Nothobranchius furzeri: one gene and its partners. The protein of the gene in region 3 purifies or fractionates together with the protein of the main gene of each other region. This does not show direct contact. Links are inferred from orthologs where the notes say so. Each region holds a gene or a part of one and is shown on either strand. Other genes may lie near its edges. The genes, in order: dtna, sntb1, adra1d, sntb2 and utrn.

The links.
Region 1: the proteins of adra1d (region 3) and dtna purify together in Homo sapiens (tandem affinity purification; 4 studies listed by BioGRID and IntAct, with this or other methods). This does not show direct contact. The link is inferred for Nothobranchius furzeri from reciprocal best matches to the Homo sapiens genes ADRA1D and DTNA.
Region 2: the proteins of adra1d (region 3) and sntb1 purify together in Homo sapiens (tandem affinity purification; 4 studies listed by BioGRID and IntAct, with this or other methods). This does not show direct contact. The link is inferred for Nothobranchius furzeri from reciprocal best matches to the Homo sapiens genes ADRA1D and SNTB1.
Region 4: the proteins of adra1d (region 3) and sntb2 purify together in Homo sapiens (tandem affinity purification; 4 studies listed by BioGRID and IntAct, with this or other methods). This does not show direct contact. The link is inferred for Nothobranchius furzeri from reciprocal best matches to the Homo sapiens genes ADRA1D and SNTB2.
Region 5: the proteins of adra1d (region 3) and utrn purify together in Homo sapiens (tandem affinity purification; 4 studies listed by BioGRID and IntAct, with this or other methods). This does not show direct contact. The link is inferred for Nothobranchius furzeri from reciprocal best matches to the Homo sapiens genes ADRA1D and UTRN.

Annotation. Positions count from the first base shown.
Region 1 is NC_091751.1:50,726,459-50,729,971, reverse strand, and holds part of dtna (dystrobrevin alpha), read left to right. Parts: intron 1-115; coding exon 116-282; intron 283-467; coding exon 468-592; intron 593-3,513. UniProt on the Homo sapiens protein: May be involved in the formation and stability of synapses as well as being involved in the clustering of nicotinic acetylcholine receptors.
Region 2 is NC_091745.1:41,784,290-41,788,530, reverse strand, and holds the start of sntb1 (beta-1-syntrophin), read left to right. Parts: upstream 1-1,430; 5' UTR 1,431-1,575; coding exon 1,576-2,101; intron 2,102-4,241. UniProt on the Homo sapiens protein: Adapter protein that binds to and probably organizes the subcellular localization of a variety of membrane proteins. May link various receptors to the actin cytoskeleton and the dystrophin glycoprotein complex.
Region 3 is NC_091746.1:78,324,880-78,328,856, forward strand, and holds the start of adra1d (alpha-1A adrenergic receptor), read right to left. Parts: upstream 2,814-3,977; 5' UTR 2,644-2,813; coding exon 1,692-2,643; intron 1-1,691. UniProt on the Homo sapiens protein: This alpha-adrenergic receptor mediates its effect through the influx of extracellular calcium.
Region 4 is NC_091744.1:86,309,847-86,314,038, reverse strand, and holds the start of sntb2 (beta-2-syntrophin), read right to left. Parts: upstream 2,814-4,192; 5' UTR 2,671-2,813; coding exon 1,974-2,670; intron 1-1,973. UniProt on the Homo sapiens protein: Adapter protein that binds to and probably organizes the subcellular localization of a variety of membrane proteins. May link various receptors to the actin cytoskeleton and the dystrophin glycoprotein complex.
Region 5 is NC_091742.1:4,205,757-4,209,826, reverse strand, and holds the start of utrn (utrophin), read left to right. Parts: upstream 1-1,261; 5' UTR 1,262-1,338; coding exon 1,339-1,420; intron 1,421-3,840; exon of another isoform or gene 3,841-4,070.

The DNA of each region.
Region 1 (3,513 bases), on a different chromosome or scaffold from region 3:
TGTGTGTGTGTGTGTGTGTGTGTGTGTGTGTGTGTGTCTGTGTGTGTGTGTCTGTGTGTGTGTGTGTGTGTGTGTCTGTGTGTGTGTGTGTGTGCACAACTGTACCCCCCTGCAGTGTTTCACCCGGTCGAGTGCTCCTACTGCCACACTGAGAGTATGATGGGCTTCCGCTACCGCTGCCAGCAATGTCACAATTACCAGCTCTGTCAGGACTGCTTCTGGAGGGGGCATGCCAGCGGTTCCCATAGCAACCAGCACCAAATGAAGGAGTATACGTCATGGGTAAGGAAAGGAAATAGGAAGAGGGGGAGTTATATGGAGGCGTGTCTGCATGACATCAGTCACTGAGGCTATTTTTAATCTGCATGTAAGAATGCTGCTGTGTGTGTGTGTGTGTGGGGGGGGGGGGGTCATTGTATTGATGTCCTTTTGTTTTGACAACCATTTGGCCTCTGTGCTTCTCCTAGAAATCTCCCGCGAAGAAGTTATCTCATGTCCTCAGCAAGTCACTGAGCTGTGCATCCAGCAGAGAGCCCCTTCACCCTATGTTTCCAGAAACGCCAGAGAAACCTCTCAACCTCGCTCATATTGTGTAAATACTTCTTGTTCCTACCTCCCCACTGCTAACTCACAGCCTGAAATGATTCCGGTCAATCACTCAGGTCAGCTGATCAATAGGTTTAATTACAGCCTTGGGAATTATCTGATTTGCAACTGTGCACCACCCGTTTTTAGCTAGGTTTTTTAGCTGTTTTGTGTTACGCAATGAAAAAATGCAATTAAGGCCTTCACAATCTAAATTCCTAAATTTCTTAAATTCTTTGCTTTTTGAGATCTGAAGGCTCTGGTTGCCATTTTGCAACCTTTCCATAATTTCTTTAGGTTTTTTTTTTAATACCAACTCTGACGCTTCTAATGGCTCATTTGGTTCAACCTAAAAAGTATGCCCGTTTCTTCCTGCTAACGGTTATTTTGCTCATTCTAAATCATCTCTGAAACAAAGCTGACAGGATTTTATTTCAGTGTCAGTTTTTTTAATAACAACTGGAAGACATATCACCTTATTGTTTTAGGGCTGCTGTGCCTCAATTATCAATGCTTTTAGTAGTCACCTCGCAGTTTGATGCAGGGAGATCATAATCAATTCTTTCAAGGGCTAAACTTGAATATAGGACCCTATCAACAGCTATTCAAAGCAAAAACAAAAATTTATCTTGAGCTGGATACTTTGAAACAGCTTATAAATGTCATTAGGTCAGATAAAACTTATTTAGACTCAGATCAGATGCAACTCGCTCAGGTTGTTTTTACTTGAAGGTGTTTTGTGGTTTAGCTGAAGGAAGATCTTGAGCTTTCCTTGTTCCAAAATAGATGGATGCACCTGCATGACTCACCCCCCCCCCCCCCCCCCACCCCCACACCCCCACGCGCACACACACACACACACACACACACACACACACAGCTCAGTGAATGTAAGCTAAGCTGGAAACACATGGCAGATGGAGAGAAGCCATGCACTTCAATTTTGTGGCATTGCAGGAGGCTGTTTGCTGCTGTTTCCAGGTGTAAAATTCATGCATTTTTAATGTTAGCATTGTTGAAAGTTGTCTTTGACTGATATAAATCTATATACCAGTATATGCAGGATCCCACTTCATAAAAAGAAAAAGAAAAACTAATTTATTTTAGGTTACTATGACATCTCACAACTCCTATCATGCAGACTTAAACTTTAAAGATTATCCGTGCAAAACAACAATACTTCAATTTAGGTTAGACCAGTTTTGCCAAGCAAACAAAAATATATCTCAAAAACTAAACATTGGGTCTGTCATATTTTGATATTTTGAGTGAGAGGAGAATTAGCTGGAGTTTGATGTACAATATGTGCATGGTAAAGAGTAAAAACTGACAGGTTATTTCCGATATCACATTTTATTGCTAATATCGGCCAATAATATCGATATTATCATCCCTAATTAGAGCGACAATGGCCCAATCCAGATACTTGCACTGCCACACTTGCACCCTTCAGTTGCACTATCCAGGCTAGCGGTGCAAGTGCGTAGGGTGGAGCTATTCAGTTCCGGGCTTGGAGGGCCAGTATCCAGCACACTTTGGTCTTAACTCTGCTTCAACACACCTGATTTTAATCAGCAGGTGAATAAAAGGCTTCTGCTGAGCCTGATGAACTGCTACACAGGTGATTCAACCACTGAATCTAGTGTGTTGGACTAGACAAACCACTGAAACGTGCTGTAAGCTGGCCCTCGAGGCCCAGAATGAAACAGCCCTGGCGTTGGTTGTCCCGATTCTCAAGTGCGGAAGTTGATCACTCCTTTTTTCACCCTTGATCCACACTTCACCCAAATCTGCATCGATGCAAAGTTGGGCAAAGTGTATTACATCACTGGTGGAGAAAAGGCTCAAGTGCCTTTTCTGAAAATATGTCATTTCAAATGAAAGTAGTTCATTTTAGAATGAATGATTGATGTTTAAAGGAGACATAACATGAAAAACCCACTTTTTTATCCGTTAACACAGTGTGTTTCACATTGTAAGTGTCTAAGTGAGCAAAAAGGCTTATATTATTCACTGGAGTTGCTATTTAGATATTTAATAATTAAGTTTTGGGCATATTTGTCCACCCGTTTAGTTTTTCAAATTATCTATTAAATCAGTAATTTATTTCGTCAGGATAACTACCAAATATGGTAATGGCCCTCGGCTAAACACAGAGCCAATCCGCCATTTTTTCATCTCGCTAAGATTTTTTGTAGTCCTATTGGAAAAATGCAGAATGTCTGGTTATTTTAGCCACACACAGCTCAAAACTGTTCCTCGTTTTAAGGAATGGTGGTGTGGCAGTATTTAAACCCAGGAGCTGATGACACTACTGCTAAAAAAAACAAAAGAAAAAGTAGTGTGTGTGTGTGTGTGTGTGTGTGCGCGCGCGCGCGTGGTTCGTTCGTGTCTCCTGGCTAGTAAGTACCGAGGGCTTCATCTATCTAAAAGGAGTCATTTCCATCTGAATGTGACAGCACCGGGACACAGCAGCAGAGCGGTAAGCTTCATATAACTCTAAAATGTCGACAAACTTTACTTTAGGTTTACGGGCATTAGCAGCACTAAAGCGTTAGCATCCGGCTTGCTATCGCTAGCACAGTATGCTAGTAAAGTTAGCACCCAGATTAATGTGGATTTGGCTGATTTTCGTGGAATAAAACATGATTTCTGATCAACGCCTTCTTTTACACCAGATGTACATCCACTGATTGTAGCAGCAGAGAGCCTGTGTGTTATTTTACGTGAGTGTGATGTAATCTTAGCATCCAGTAAATAAAGTCCCATATCAGCTAAAATGCAGCGTGACAAAGTCATTAAAGTGCGTCAACACAGTGGATTTAATAGTTTTAAAGAACAATCTCTGAGTGAAGTGAGGTTAGTTTTTTGTCTCACTGCAGATATAAAAACGAACTCTGCATCAGTCAGACGCAGCAAAGCTCACCG
Region 2 (4,241 bases), on a different chromosome or scaffold from region 3:
CTATTATACATCACCTTTCATAGGTCGGTAATTGGTTTGGTTTGAAGGTCGTTACCACAACACAGAATAAACTTTCATCTGATGAAGCTCATTTCCACATTAAAGTAAAAATAACTCTCCTGCTCCTCATCAAGACAAAACATGTCTTTTGCACAACTCAGTAATTGTAAGTAGCTCACGGTGAAACAACACTTCCTGTGTTTTATTAGGAGTTGTTCAAAGTTATTGAATAGGACACACTCAAAGAAAGATAAAAAATAAAATAGCTATACGTTACAGCCAGTTTATCCATTCAGCTTTGAGGGCCTAAAACAGTCTTGGAGGCCGCTCAATCCTCTGCCTGAAGGAGAAGGCGCGGGTGGGGTCTGTCGTCATGGTCTCTGCTCTGGGTTTGCATCTGCTGCTTTATTCAGTATTCATTATTTAAATAATTTAATCTGTGAAAAACCAGTAAGGACATAAAAAGCAGATTATTTTAAAGATCAAATGTTTTTGATTTACTGTTCAACGTCACCTGATGATAGATAGATAGATAGATAGATAGATAGATAGATAGATAGATAGATAGATAGATAGATAGATAGATAGATAGATAGATAGATAGATAGATAGATAGATAGATAGATAGATGATAGATAGATAGATAGATAGATAGATGACTGTTAAAACAAACATCACCAGTAGGTGTCGCTGTCGCGCCGGTTTAGATCAGTACCAGTGGAAGTTTGCAGATGTTTTAATTAGCCTAATTGACAGCTGCTGTTTGGAGATGATGGAGAACCGTTCCCCTCTTCCTCCACCTTGTTTGTTTGTCGTTTCTACATTTGCTTCTATTTGTTTCTCTTATTTTCTCTCTGATCTACAGAACCAGTAAGACTCGGACTGCGCCCTCGGGGTCTTGGGCTGACATAACCGCTGGGAACAGCTGGAAAAATAAAAAAATAATCATTAGAGATGCGGAGAAACTCCGCAGAGGGTGGGCCTTTAAATGAAAGCCTAAAATTAAACCGCGTTCTCTCCCCTCAATTGCATTCCTGAGTGCGCGTAAGCACGACGTAAGCGCAGTCCTACAGGACAACTAGTTATGATTTCAAAGTTTTTCAAAAGATGTTGAAGGTACAGTTTTATTTCCTTGAATTTTGTCCAAATTACGCACAAAAACACTCGAACCCCATGACTGAAACGGTGTATTGATTTTATTTAATAACATTAATGCTAATGACAAAAGCGTGAAACCGTTTCATTCTGTTCTGAAAAATTATCAGAGCTGCATACGGTTTTGTTTTTATGACTTTAGCACGTGCTTGCGTCATAGCTCAGAAAGTTATGTCTGATGCAAATGCCCATTTTTTTCTTTTTGGTTCATGGGCTGGTCGGTTGTAAGCGTGGAGAGGAAAACTCCACCCAGCAGCTTTAGGACCTCCGGGCAGGCGGAGCGGAGCGGGGGCCAGCCTGCGCTGGCTGATCGAGTCCCGCAGAAAACTTCTGACGAGCAAAGTCCATGCAGCTTGAGCCGGAACGCGTGTGTGTTTGTGTGAGAGAGAACGCGTGTGATTTTACAGAAATGCTCCAAAGATGGCGGTGGTAGCAGCCGCAGGCGTCTCGAGAGGCTCCGGGGCGCACAGAAGTGGATTAGTGGAGGTTTTGGTGCGGGAGCACTGGCACAAAGTTTTGGTAAACTTGAGCGAGGAGGCGCTGACGCTGAGCTGCGAGGATGGCGAGAATGTCAACTCAAACGGGCTCACCAACGGATCGTACCTGGATAACAGCAACACCAACTCCAACAATGGCCCCCAAGCTGTGCGCACCGCTTTCACGGACCTCCCGGAGCGAGTGCCCGAGGCGATCGCCAACAGAAAGCGCTGCGTCAAGGTGACCAAGCAGGAAGTCGGAGGGCTCGGCATCAGCATTAAAGGAGGGAAGGAGAACAAGATGCCCATTCTCATCAGTAAGATATTCAAGGGGCTCGCAGCGGACCAGACCCAGGCTCTGTACGTGGGGGACGCGATCCTGTCAGTGAACGGGATGAACCTGCGGGACGCCACGCACGATGAGGCGGTGCAGGTGCTGAAACGTGCGGGGAAGGAGGTGACACTGGAAGGTAGGCAGCAGTTGGGACACATGCACGTAGAGGGAAGGTGACCAGAGCCCCGGAAGTCCAAACTGTTTTTATATCATACAAACGCTCGTAAACCGAAGCCAACAGGTGTGCGTGGGTTTCGCGTATTTATTTCTGAGAATTGTTGCTGTGATCATTTAATTCAGATGTCCCTGATTAGCTGCAGGACTCCTGGACACCTCAGCCTCTGCGTGTTGGGATGCTTGGTGCAACTTCAGGAGACGCAAAACCAGGTTTTGTTGTTTTGCCTTCATGATTATTGCTGTGGTTAAAAAAAATCACCTTAATGAAGGAAAACAAGGCAGCAGGACAAGATCGAAAGCCTGAAAATGAACCGTGTTTTCTCCTGTAGATAAAAGGCAGCTGATTAATTCGTTTGTCTCTTCAAATGAAGTTGAAGAAGAGCTCAGCTTTTGGTTCCAGACATTTTTTCTGTTGCAGATAAAAACTTACTGGCAGAAAATAGCAGGTGGGATTTTATTAGATAAATAATAGGAATCTTTTGAGATCCAACTTGGATCTTGTTCTTCCATTTGCCTTAAAGAGTTCGATAACTTGTGACTTCCTGAACATTCTGTTTGGAGAAATAACTGATGAGCTACTACACTGCCTGGGCCAAAAACAAGTCACCACCTGGATTTAACTAAGCAAACAGGTAGGGTCCTCCTATTATTAATTACTGCATGTCAAAAAGTGTTTTAACCTCAAATGGTGCAATGAGTCACTTCTCATTCGTTAAACAAACAAGTGGAAAGACACAACTGGTGGTTGTGGAAAAGATGTTAGTCTGTGTGGGAAGGGTCGGGTCGTTGGCGTCAAGCAGAGATGACATCTAATGAGATGCAAAAAAAACTCAATCTGAACTGTCCAACACTTTATTAAAAACTGGTCTGATGAGTCCAGATGGGCCCTGTTCCAGAGTGATGGTGCATCAGGGTAAGAAGAGAGGCAGATGAAGTGATGCACCCATCATGCCTAGTGCCTACTCTACAAGCCTGCGGGGGCAGTGCTATGATCTGGGCTTGCTGCAGGTGGTCAGGTCTAGACTCCGCAACAGGATGTGCTCCAAGAACGAAGTCAGCTGACTACCTGAATATGCGGAATGACCAGGTTATTCCATCTTCCCTGATGGCACGGGCATATTCCAAGACGACAATGCCAGGATTCATCGGGCTCAAGAGCGGTTCAGGGAGCATGAGACGTCATTTTCACACATGGATCGGCCACCACAGAGTCCAGACCTTAACCCCATTGAGAATTTTTGGGATGTGCTGCAGAAGGCTTTGTGCAGCAGTCAGACTACCATCATCAGTGCAAGATGTTGGTGAGACATTAGTTCAACCCTGGATCAAAACAACTGGTGATGTTGCAGAAGCTTATCGAAACAGCGCCACAGCGAATGCGTGTCGTAATCTGTCATTGCACGCCAGGGCAGCTGTGGCTACATTGTAGCTCATCCCCAGCAGCGTGTGAATGTGGGATTCAATGAAAGAATGACTGATTATGTTGTAAAGTGCCTTGGGGGGTTCTAGGACTCTAGAAGGCGCTATATCAAATACAGGCCATTTTTCTTTTTGGGTGGTGACTTTTTTATTTGGCTGGGCGGTTTATGTTTATTTATTTGGCAGACGCTTTCATCCAAAGCGACACACAATTTATAACTTACAGGGCATGTTGTGATCCGTGGGGGAAAACGGAGTACCCGGAGGAAACCCACGCATGCATGGGGAGAACACGCAACTCCACGCAGAAAGGCCACAGCCGAGTTTCGAACCTGCAACCTTCTTGCTACGAGGCAACAATGCTAACAACTGCGCCACCACGCAGTTCTTATGAACAAAAAAGTGTATTAATACAATGTTTAAACAAACATCTCTGTATTTCCACATGGGTTCATGCAACATTATATTATAAACATTAAAGCACTGACATGCATCCCATTGGTATTTACATGGATGTTATTACAAGTGTGAACAGCAGCTGCATGCAGCACTTCTGGTGCATCTGGGAGTCAAGTACAGCAGGAAGTTCCTCATATTTCAGCCAAAACAACTAATGGGGAATCCACCATGGCATGAAACAAACATGAATGAACTCGTTTAACATTTTTGATGACTGTGTG
Region 3 (3,977 bases):
AGACAGATCTGAGATAAAGTTGTTTAAATGTTTTAGTGTATTTGGCACAACTTGTAAAGTAGAATTTTGTCCTGTGGTGACTAACTATAACAATCAAGCGTTGCTTTTCTCATCTCAAGATCTTTACAAATGTTTTATTACTGTGCAATATAAGTAAAACATACATTACTGACTAATACACACATCTTAGCAGCCCACTTAGGGAGAATGAGATTCAGCTGCTGATGGAGGCTAATTAAAAATGCCATTTTTCCTAACATAAACTGAAGTAGTTCTCATTTTGCACAGAAAATGTAAAAGATGTAAGCATGAGAGGAGATATGTGATGTCAGTAACCTTAAATGTTTTAGATTTTCTTTTTTATGAGAGGGATCTCTGTATATTTCGATAATGGAAATTAAGAGTTGATAACATTGGCATATCGGATAGAAGTAAACAAGCCAGTATCGAGCATTCCTAAAAGAACCAAGTAATGCAGTTAGAAGAAATACACAGAATGAACATATAAAAGATGTTTAAAGAGCATCCTTAAAAAATACTTGTTTATTTTTAGTAATGTACAAAATACAAAGCAAGTGACCCTAAACATATAGCCACAGTCATTAAGAACTATCTTCAGAATCAAGAAGAACAAGACGTCCCGGAAGTGTTGGTCTGGCCCCCACAGAGCCCTGATCTCAACATCATGGAGTGTTTCTAGGACTGCATGAAGAAACTGAAGGATGTGAGGATGCCTACATCCACTGAAGATCTGTGATTAGTCCCCCAAGGTGTATGGAACAACCTACCAGCCCAGTTCCTTCAAAAACTGTGAATGAGGCTTTTTCCGGTGCCACACCTCAACCTGCGTCGGGAGAAGCGATTCGGTCTGGACTCATTTTTCATTTCATTTCATTTCAAGGATTTGTTTTCTCCCTACTTTCCCTCTACTTTTTGGTCCCTGCTTCTCTGTGGTTCCAAGGGCCGAGTCGGGCCTTGGAACCGTTTGCCGTTGATTGCTGGGGGCGGTTTCACTGGTTGTTCTGTAGCTTTATTTCCTGGTTCAGAGTCAACCATAAAGCTGAGCAGAATGTTCACCATCACCACCATTTTTTTGTGTGTTGATTTGGGTTTCTGTGTAGCATAAAGATCACCTCACACTTACTGATTACTTTTGTCTCAAGTAAAGTTTGTGCCCTGCGGTGGGCTCACAATGTCAAAATGAACAATGATTTGATTATTCAATTTGATTTCATTCTACATCAACACGAATGTGTTGGTTGTCTATAGTAAATATAGTAAATGGCCTGTTTTTGACATAGTGCTTTCTAGAGTCCTGGAACCCCCCAAGGCACTTTACAACACAATCAGTCGTTCACCCATTCACACACAAATTCACACCCTGGTGGTGATGAGCTGCATTGTAGGCACAGCTGCCCTGGGGCTCACTGACAGAGGCAAGCGAGGTCCCTCCACAATCACCAGCAGGCAATTGATAATTAAATTTACAACAATGCGCTTGAATGATTCTAAATATAAATATTGAACAGCATATGTTGATTCTAAGCACATATGCGTTCTTTTATATACCTCTTAGACTTTAGTCAAAACGTTTAGATTTTAATTAGAACCTTTACTTTCACAATCGGCGCCCCATAGATGGTCGCAAAGATTTCCATTTTATGGAAAAACCCGTGAAACTATGAACATACCTAATGGCAAGAAGAAGAAGAAGGGCAGCCAGCAGAGGATGAACATCCCCACCACGATGGCGAGAGTTTTAGCAGCCTTTTTCTCCCGGGAGAACTTCATGAGCCGCACTGAGAGCGAACTTCGGAATGGGTGGTTTTTGCTGCTCTTGGAGCTGGCCGGACGCGCGTCCTCCAGCACGCTGCGGCAGTGAATCCGGAGCACAACTTCCACAGACTTAGTCCTCTCCCGTTTGACGCCCGCTTCCAGGCTCTTCGTGGTCCTGCGGGCCACCACGTACACCCGAAAGTACATGATGAGGATAACCATGAGCGGGAGGTAAAAGGAGAAGAGCGAGGAGAAGAGCGCGTATCCGGGCTCCTCTGTGATCCTGCAGATGCTCTCGTCCACAGGCGGGGGTTCCTTCCATCCCAGCAGCGGTCCCACAGAGATCACCACGGATGAGACCCACACCAGCACCAGAATAGCCACTGCCCTTCTCTCTGTCATGATGCTCGGGTACTTGAGGCAGTATTTCACCCCGATGTAGCGGTCGATGGAGATGATGCAGAGGCTGAGGATGGAGGCGGTGCAGCAGAGCACGTCCACAGCTGCCCAGATGTTGCAGAACACCCTGCCGAACACCCAGCAGCCCAGCACCTCTAAAGACGCGGAAAAGGGCAGCACGATGATGCTCAGCAGCAGGTCCGCCATGGCCAGGTTAATGATGAAGAAGTTGGTGATGTTCTGCAGTTGCTTGTTGCACACCACGGACAGGATGACCAAAATATTCCCAACGATCGCCACCAGGATGAAAGCAGAGAGGAAGATCCCGACGCCGACAGCCTGCGAGTCCACGGTGAAGTTCTGACATGTGATGTTGTCACGTTGAAACAAGCGGTCCAGAACAGAGTCGTTGAACGCTTCAGGAGACAGCCCATAGTTGCTTTCATTCCTCAAATTAGAGTCTGTCATTTTGCGCCATAAAGAGAACTTTAGAGGAAGTTTTATTCGCAGGAAAACTGGCTGATGGGCGCTGCGCTCTGCCTCGCTCCGCGTTGGTCTCAGAAACGCAACCTGGCGGCTTTCATCAGAATAAACAGCTAACAAAACATAAAAGAATTCAACTCAAAACAAATAATAACAAAAACATCCACCCGCACGCGCCTTCAGATCCGTCCTTTTCCTGTAAATTTGTTTTAAATCCTGGCTTAGTGGATTAATGAACAGCCCCAACCGGAAGCGCATTTAGGTCCATTATAGCGCGTTTTTCTTCTGCATGGTGACATCCTTTGGAACAACTCTGATCACAGCCAGAGCTGCTACAGCAGGTCTGAACCTCCAGCTCCACCCACATTCATGTGGCGCTTGTTGCGTTCGCAGCCTCCCAAACAACAGGAGCTTCATATGGCCAGTCATTTTTTTATGCTCTGCCTTTTTTCTGAGGTATATTTGAATAGTATTTATCATACATTCATTGCAAATATCACAAAAAGACAAAGAAGGGCAAACAATGAATCTGGGCTCCATCCTTGAAATCTCAGGAGACAGAATCACTCATATCCTCCAACCTACCCAACAAGTCTGCTCTGACATCCAGGGATATAGCTGGAGTGCCCAGACGCAGATGTGGCTGCCATCTCCAGGTTTTGTGTGCTCTAAGGACGGGCCTGTCCGTCCCCCCACCCCCACCCCCACCCCCCCCCCCCCCCCGCTTACGTGATGGACAATTCATCACGCTACACCTTCATTCCCTTTTACAGTCTCCCCAGTCCCCGGTCCTTATTCTGTGTTTTCCCCTTTCAAAGATTTTGACTTTTTGGATTCACGTGTTTTGTTTATTTCTCCCAGCCTTTTAGTTTCAGTTGGCATGTTTTTGTTTTATTGTGTTCTATTCTGTTTTCCCCAGTTAAGTCTTAATTTTTACTTTAGCTTCTATTAGGTTTGTCAGTTTATCAATATTTATCTCTCGATTTCTCCTGGATTCCCTGCATTAGTTTCACTTGCATCTTTAGTTGCTTAGTTTCTCGATTATTTTCTATTTTCTGTTTTATTAGTTCACTTCATTAATTATTATTTTTGGGCTTCAGTTCTCAGAGCATTTATCCTCGTTTAGCTTCCCTGTTTAGTTTATTTCTTTCAGCCTTTAGTTTAGTATCATTCTGTTCTAGTTGTTGTTTTATCGTTTTGTGTTGTTATTTACATCTTGTGTTGTGTTTTGCCTCCTATTTCTCAGTTAATTAGTCACACCTGTTGGCCCTTTTCATTTGCAATCATCTCACCTGTTTCCATTGTCTTTGTTTGCACTT
Region 4 (4,192 bases), on a different chromosome or scaffold from region 3:
AACTTTGGTGCTGCTTGGATTCCCCGGGGTATTTAGATCCATCGCCGAATCGCCGTCAGCGTATATCCATATAACGGGTGCGGATGGGCACCCATGTGCAGCCTCGAAATAAGACATTATCTGCACCAAGACATCTTCATGTCGAAAGGTTTTGTTAGGAATCATTAACGTGATTCCCCTGTTCGTTTGGAGCGGGTCTGGTCTGGGATTTCTAGGCGTGAACAGACTAGCTGCGGCTAATCTAACCGGCGCTTTTAATGACGTCACTGCCGCTCGCCAATCTGTTTTTATTAAGATTACCGGTAGATGTACCTTTGTCCTACTGTGGAGAAATTCGTTTTCTCCCTTTATTGACCAACAGAGTTGTTCAAAAGTACAGAACAAAACATATGGCATTACATCTTATAACAAAAATGCACCTTAAACAGAGTTTAAGCAGCAAAACATCACTCTGCAAATAGTGTCTATATAGTGAGACAATTCATGATTTAAAGTGTTTTTGTATGCACGTTTTAAAAAATGCTGATACTTGAAAGGTTTAAGCACTTTACACACTTAATTCTTAACATTTAATTTTTGCAATATAAATTGAGGAATGTTATTTTTTGAATAAACGTGTTCAATAAATTGGTGTTTTTAAATAGTATCAAAATCGAGTATCGAGTTTTTTTTCCAGTATCGAATCGAGTTTGAAATTTTAGTATCGTGACAACCCTACGCTGCTGTAAAAAAAGTGAGGCGCGAACCGGAAAAGCTTCTGCCGATCACAATTCAACAACGGATTACGAAAGAACGGAAAACGCTCGAAACGCGCGGATTCTTCCTGATGTAAGAGGTGAGTCTCTGCTTTGTTTTGGTTGTTTTGGCGTCGACATCATCCTAGCGCGCAACGTTCTGTCACTCTTAAAAAAACAGTAAAAACGGTGAGAAACGCTGGCAGCGAATGAGTTAAAATAAAGTGTAATTTAGGGAACTTTCATTTTAAGCAAATCAACAAGACTGCTTGCTTCATGCCAGAAGGCCAAGATGAAGGACTGGATTCAACAAAGTAGCAGTTGTAGTTTTTACTAAAGCGAAACAAACCCGCTTTAATGAAACTAAATCAGAATAAGGACACGTTCAGCAACTTTTTTTTTGCACACGTGACGAGCATTTACCTAAAATGTTATGTGCACTTTCAAAATGCACACGGATGGAAGTTTGACTAATGTCCATTTCTATTAAACACATCTTTATTTCTCAGAATATCTCCAGAAAACCCCCAACTTTCCATTAGTTATTTGTGTATTTACCTGATGAATATCATTCGGTAAGCCAGATTATATTTTCTTTGCGAGTTTAAAATGTATTTGGCCATAAATAGAATCATCCACAGCCAATCAGAAATGAGATTACAATCATTGATGTCAAAGATAAAACGTAAAAACAGAGAAGCCCTTTATTATTTTATGGGCTTTTTGGTGCATTTACACAAAAACAAATCTCATCTGGTCACGTTTGCTGCGGCCTCTTATCTCCAACAAGCCCGTCGTTCAAACATCCAGAGTGAAATGTATCTGGTCCTGACCACAACTCTGGTTGCACTCGTGTTTACACCAACCAAAGGCTTTGTGTTGATTTGATTTGATTTAAGCTCACTTCTGCTGCTCATAGATCAACACAGACCGTGTTTGTTTGGGTCTGAATTCTAACGTGTAAAGCAAACACGCCTGGCTTTGGGAAGCTGCAAACGAGATGAACGTGTGTGACAGCTATTCATGAAGGATCAGCTGACTTACGTCACACTGGTAACTTGTTGAGTTTGGAATATTTTATTATAGTTTGTAGCTGAATTGTTATTTGAGGCATACCTTTAGTGTTTAAAGAGTAACTGAAGTGACACTGATGCCAGCGCATGGATGTGACAGGGATAGGTGTGCAGTCGGACCTCTGGAGGCCTTTTCAAAACCGCGCTCTCGCGTTGGCCAACTCACCCTCCAGCGTCACCTCTTTCCCCGCCTTCTTGAGCGCCTGGACCGCCATGTCATGCGTTGCCTCCCGGAGCTCGGTCCCGTTCACCGACAGGATTGCGTCGCCCACCCGGAGAGCCCGGCTCTGGTCTGCAGCGAGTCCAGGGAAGATCTTGGAGATGAGGATGGGCATCCGGTTCTCGCGCCCCCCTTTGATACTGATCCCCAGCCCGCCAGACTCTTGTTTAACTACTCGGACTTTACGCACAGCTTCGGAGGACCCGTCCAGGCTGACCGGGAAATCGCCTTGTCTCGACCCAAAGCTTGACCCTGGACTACCGTAACTAGAGCCGGGGCTTCCGAAGTCAGAGTTTGTGCCGTTAATCGGGTACTTTCCAGGGCTGTACTGGCCGCGGTTGACGCCTCCTCGACCCGGGCTGCTACTGCGCCCTCGCACCCCGTGGTTCTGAAGCTGGTCTTGACCTGAGGACGAACGGCGGCCAGGGATCCCCACACTCGTTCCCGGATCATTTCCGTTCGACATGCCATTTCGCAGGCCAGCCGAAGAGCAGTCCCAGTGGTTGCCCGCCTGTCCGGTCACCTCCGATTCGGCTGTTAGAGTCAGCGTCTCCCGTGTGAGTTCTGCAGCCACTCGGATCCAGCGGTCCCGAAGCAGAAGGTCCAGCTGACCATTTTTATCCGCTCTGGTCCAAATTGCCATTCCTGGACTGTCGTTAGCCTGCTCCGAGGCGGGCCGCCGCTACTCTAAACTCATCGTCAACTTTTTCCTCTCTTTTTTTGTGAGTGCGCACAAGCGGCAGCACTGGCTCGCATCGACACACCCACTCCCGCCGAGGAGAGGGAGAGAGGGGGGAGAAACACGGGACTCCCACAAAACAGGGGGAGGAGGAGAAGCGGCTGCTACGGGGCAGCCTCGGAGGTCTTGCTGAGGAGTTCAATCCGATTCCGTAAAGCTGTCCAACCTCACCGGAAAGCTAGCATAGCTACAACAAAGACACATCCGTTTAGGCCTTTCAAAATAAAACAATGTAGCCCATATTACACTCTCGATGTGTGTGTGTGTGTGTGTGTGTGTGTGTGTGTGTGTGTGTGTGTGTGTGTGTGTGTGTGTGTGTGTGTGTGTGTGTTATCATGATTTGTGGTCCTGTGTGTAATAGGTGTAATATGAGCAAGAATATTTTATTTAGAATAAATTGTTTTGCTAATGGTTTATAAACGCAATTACTAATATACGGAATGCATCAAGGGCGTAGGAACCGGGGGTGGGGGGTGGGGGGGACGTGTCCCCTCCAATATTGGACAAACGCGCATTTGTCCCCCCCAATAACACGGAGAAGAAAAAAATTGATTTTGAAATATTTGACTCGTGAGCTTTTATTTTGAAAGACGCTGCAGACTTCTCACTGACACAGCCCCTCCCCTCAGGGAGTTAGACAGGAGCGGGACCTGGACGACAACAGCTTCTTCTCATGGGCAATAAGAGAAAGAAAGGAATTGTGACTCGGTAATAATTTAGTCCAAGAGGATAATTGTATTTCTGGTCAAACGTTAGACTGGCTGACTAACGTAAACATCTTGCTAGGCAGCATTAAACGTTAAACAACACTACTAGTCAACAAAAAATGGCGAATTTAACACGATTTTACAGTAACAGACAAAAACCATTTGACACGAAATAAATAAAGTAGAATCTCCACATAAAAATGGAGTTTGTAAATGTGATTGTTGCTTGTTTGTGACATTCTCATCACATTTTATTTTTAAACCTTATTCATGTCACTTTTTTCATATGAGAGACCAGAGGAAGTTCAGCAGCAAAATGATGAAGAAGGTGAGACAGGCAGTGCCAGACCTGCTGAGGGTGAGACAGGCAGAGCCATACCTGCTGAGGGTGAGACAGGCAGCGCCAGTCCTGCTGAGGGTGAGACGGGGAGAGCCATACCTGCTGAGGGTGAGACAGGGAGAGCCATACCTGCTGAGGGTGAGACAGGGAGAGTCATACCTGCTGAGGGTGAGACAGGGAGCACCAGACCTGCTGAGGGTGAGACAGGGAGAGCCATACCTGCTGAGGGTGAGACAGGGAGAGCCATACCTGCTGAGGGTGAGACAGGGAGAGCCATACCTGCTGAGGGTGAGACAGGGAGCACCAGACCTGCTGAGGTGCAGGTAGGTGCTACAATGAAGAGTGAGATTTTAGATGGTTGATGATGAGAGGAAGATTC
Region 5 (4,070 bases), on a different chromosome or scaffold from region 3:
AACAGTAGATCGTTTCTAAACGTTTCAGGCTGCAAAAACTGTGAATCAGCCTTTGTCTAATTTGCCTTTTACCCTTTTGGTTCCTTCTCATGGTGGCTCCATAGCTCTGCTGCCAGTCTGCCGTCTGGAGCTTCAGATTTACTAGAACAAAAACGTTTTACAGGATTTGTTTGGGAACAGTTTGTTACTTGTTCTTATCTTTGTGCTGCTGAATCTGAGTTTACATTGTACAGTAAAAATGATAAGAAAATAATAAATTTAAAGGAAGCTGACTGAACATCAGAGTTGTCCTCAGAGGAGCCTAACCTCACCACAGAAACACATTTTCTGTCTAGAATATGGGTGGAGGAGATTTGTCCTCATCACTTTTAGGCATGGTGCCGAACAAGTAGCAAAATGTAGTCAGTCTTCTTTGTGCTTGTGTTTTAAACACACTGACACACACACACACACACACACACACACACACACGGGATGCAATCAGGTGGTTTTTATTTAGAAAGTTAGTCAGCAGTAGGAGTTAGGCTTGAGGGTGTGTGTGTGTGACAGAGATGCTTGTTTGTATGTTCACTGGTTTATTAGTAAAAGATGATGTGCGACTGACAGGGCAGCATGCCTTCTGACACACTCGCCACCGTGGGAAGTTCCTGCTCCGTCTTTGATCCCCTCCCAACTCAAGCCTCACCCAGAGAAACCAGACCAGATGTTGAAAATCTCAGTGGTAGAAAGTGTCTTTGATTTAGTCAGCTGCTGGACATCACAGTATTCCTCTCTTCCTCTCCGATAGGGGACAGAAAAGACACAAAAACATTCAGCCATTCGCTCTACTGTCCCTCTTTGTTTCTCCATCTGTGTGGGAACAGAAACGGTTTGTTCTGCTGCTCCTCATCGACTCGATACATCAATAAACAACTGGACTATTGCACTGCTGCAGCTCATAGCCATGCACTTAAATTCAGAAACTCAGCTCTGTTTGCAATGGTTATGTAATTGTTATAGGTTTCACTTTTATGCAAACGCTCGTAAAGAAGCGTTTTAACCATTGTAGTACGCTAGCACCTCTTTGGGTTGCCATTTCAGGAAGGGACTTTACAATATAGATATAATCAAATACGTGTATTAATTAAGTCAAATTGAAGCTTATCCTGTTTCTGTTCATCACTTTTGTGCGTGCTGTTACATCATCACCCAGCAGAAACCCACTTATACCTCTGCTTCCTCTTAGTGTTTTTTTTTTCTCATGCATCTGTCACTCTCCCACCACCTTGTCTTCCTGTTCCGGTTTAGCGGTAGTGTGTTCTCTCTCTCTTCTTTATTTAAAAATACTTATTTTCAACCATGAACTTGAGCAGATGGATGTCCTGGAGAAAGCACAACTTCTTCAGAAAAAAAGGGAAGCATGAATATTGCCTGGAACTGGGTAAGGTTGTTTTCTGTTGAGTAAAAAGCGGCGTCTGATCCATTCTCCGTTTTCAAACCTGCAGTTATTATGGTCCCTGTGTGTGTGTGTGTGTCTTTTGATAAATGCTAAGCATCTTTGTTGTTTGTGCTTCTTTTTCCTGCCAGTCAAACCAGTATTAATGATCAATCAGAATCAGGTTTCACTTTTGTCACCAAGAAAATTGGCGCTCAGTCGGTTAAAGTGGCAGTGTGTAGTTTCCTGGTGCCAGGGTGCAGTACATACATAGATTTCACGGTAGTTTTACACCATATCTCCATCTCTTGACGGTCCTTCAGTGTATTATTCAGTGAAAGAGAATGTAATGCCGATGCTAGGTTTCTGGCGCTGTAGTTTCTGGATCTGCTCGGGGTTCTGCGCCTGCCGATGACATCATCATACCACGGCAATACCACTCAGCCAAAATGTATTGCATCTCTTTATCGATTCTGTTCTTTCACACAGGTTTTGGAAAAAGTTCATCAGTTTTTAATATTAAATTCATGTTTCTTACTGTCTAAATGTTTTTGAATGTGGTAATGTAACTTCTGTAAATCAAATGTCCAGCCAGTCATCTAGTGTAGTGTTTCCCAACCCTGTTCCTCAGGGCACACTGACCTGCATGATTTCCATGCCTATGCTTCAGCACACCTGATTTACATTGCCTCTTCAGGAGGACATCAAGTGCTGCAGATGTCTGTTCATCACTCATTATTTAAGTCAGGTGTGTGGCAGCAGGCAAACACTGGTGTTCAAAATGGCAGCATTGAAAACATGCAGGACATTGTGCCCTGAGGACCTGGGTAGGGAAACACCGATCTAGTCTTTGACAGCCGCAGGACCCCGAGCCAGCCAGAAGGAAACATGGAGTCTAATAAGGCCATCCCCAAAGATGCTAGCACTATGTACTTTAGACCCGGTTTTTATGTTTATATAGTACAAAGCTGCCAATATTTTTCAACTAGACAACATTTTGTTGGATATTTCCAGAGACTAAAGGTAAAAATACTAAGGCCGGGATTCGATTAAAAATAAATTAACTAATTAATCACAAATCTGAAAGAAATGAATCGCAATGAATTATAATTTTTTTTCCAGAAAAAACAAGCAATAAACATGCAAAAAATATACAAGAGAGGTTCATTTTATTTAGAAAGTGCATAAGTTGTTGAAGTGTGTAAAATCACAGAGAAAACCTTAAATCAAATCCAGTTTCTGTTCAAAAACATGGTTTGAAAAAGTCTGTTGTGTAAACAATGAACAGGAAATAAATCTAGTACAGTTAGCTTATGTTATTCAATGTTAATATCATTTTCCACAGCATCAGTTGAACTAGGATTGCCAACTCCCCCAAAATAAATAAGGGACACCTCACTGGCATGGCCCCCCTTGGGTGGGACGGAGTTTTGAAGGTGATCTGAATTTTATGGAATATATGAATATTATGAGCTTATAAATAATATTTATTTTATAACGTCAAAACCTGTAGTGGGATAAATCTGCCTACATTTTCTTTTCCGTGCTCTTTGTTTTGTTTTCTTATTATCCTGTCCTGTCTGTCTCTGATCCTGCATCTGCCTCAGGGAGTTGCAGGATCTTGTTCTCCTGAAAAAAACGCTGCCTGGCCACGGCCGTGGAGCACGGGTGATGAGCGCAGCAGCGATGCGCGTCAGGCCCGAATAAAAGACAGAAAGTACCAAGGCCGTTATGAACGATCGTGTGTTAAATATATTTTGGTGAGAATGTTTGCTTTGAGAATGTTACTGTGGCCGAGCGCAAGACGCAGATGCTGCTGGAGCGCATGGGCGCTCTGTCTCTGTTCATCTTCTCCGCTCAAAAGAATCCTTGATGCTGGGAGTCCATAATATGGTAGAAACTTGAACTTTTTTTGGGCCCGTAAATGATGGTTTAGCAATATTGTCCAGGGGCAAATATGGAAATATTTTGGAGAATGGTGGTTCAGGGTTGGAGAGATGGTCAAATTAATTACGTCCTTTACTTTTAACACGAGCTAATTTTCCCGGCCCTAAAAATATACACATTATCTCTTTAAACAGACACCCCAAAAGGCCAGTATGGCGTTTTCTTAGTAATATAATAACAAACAAGCTCTTCAAGAGCTTAATAGCATCAATAAAAATAAAGATAGTATTTCCTCCTAATTTAAATGAGGTTTCTTATGGTGATAATAAGCTGACAACATAAATGCTTTATGATTTTATATCTCATTCATGCTCTAGTTTTTCTGTAGACAGTGAGGAGATTTCAGAGGGTTAATCTCCACCATCGTCACGGCTTGTGATTGTTTATCTTTCTTCTCTTTTGTTTTCCTTTTTCTGGTGATGGCATAAAATGTTGAGACGGGGCCAAACTGTTGCTCTGTGCACGTCCTCTTGTCTCATCACTGCTGGCCTGCCCCGTTCGTCCCTTTTCCCTGACAGTGTCCATCTTTCCCTCCCTTCTTCTCCCTCTGCTGCTGCATTCTTCTGATCTTTTCCTCTCTTGCTGGACATAGAGTGACCAAAGCAGATTAGAGAGGGATATCACAGCCCGCTTTGCACTGTTACCCTCGGACTGTGTCCTCTCCTCTTTGTCCTTTTTTGGGGTTTATTGCTTCCTCTAATGCTTAAAG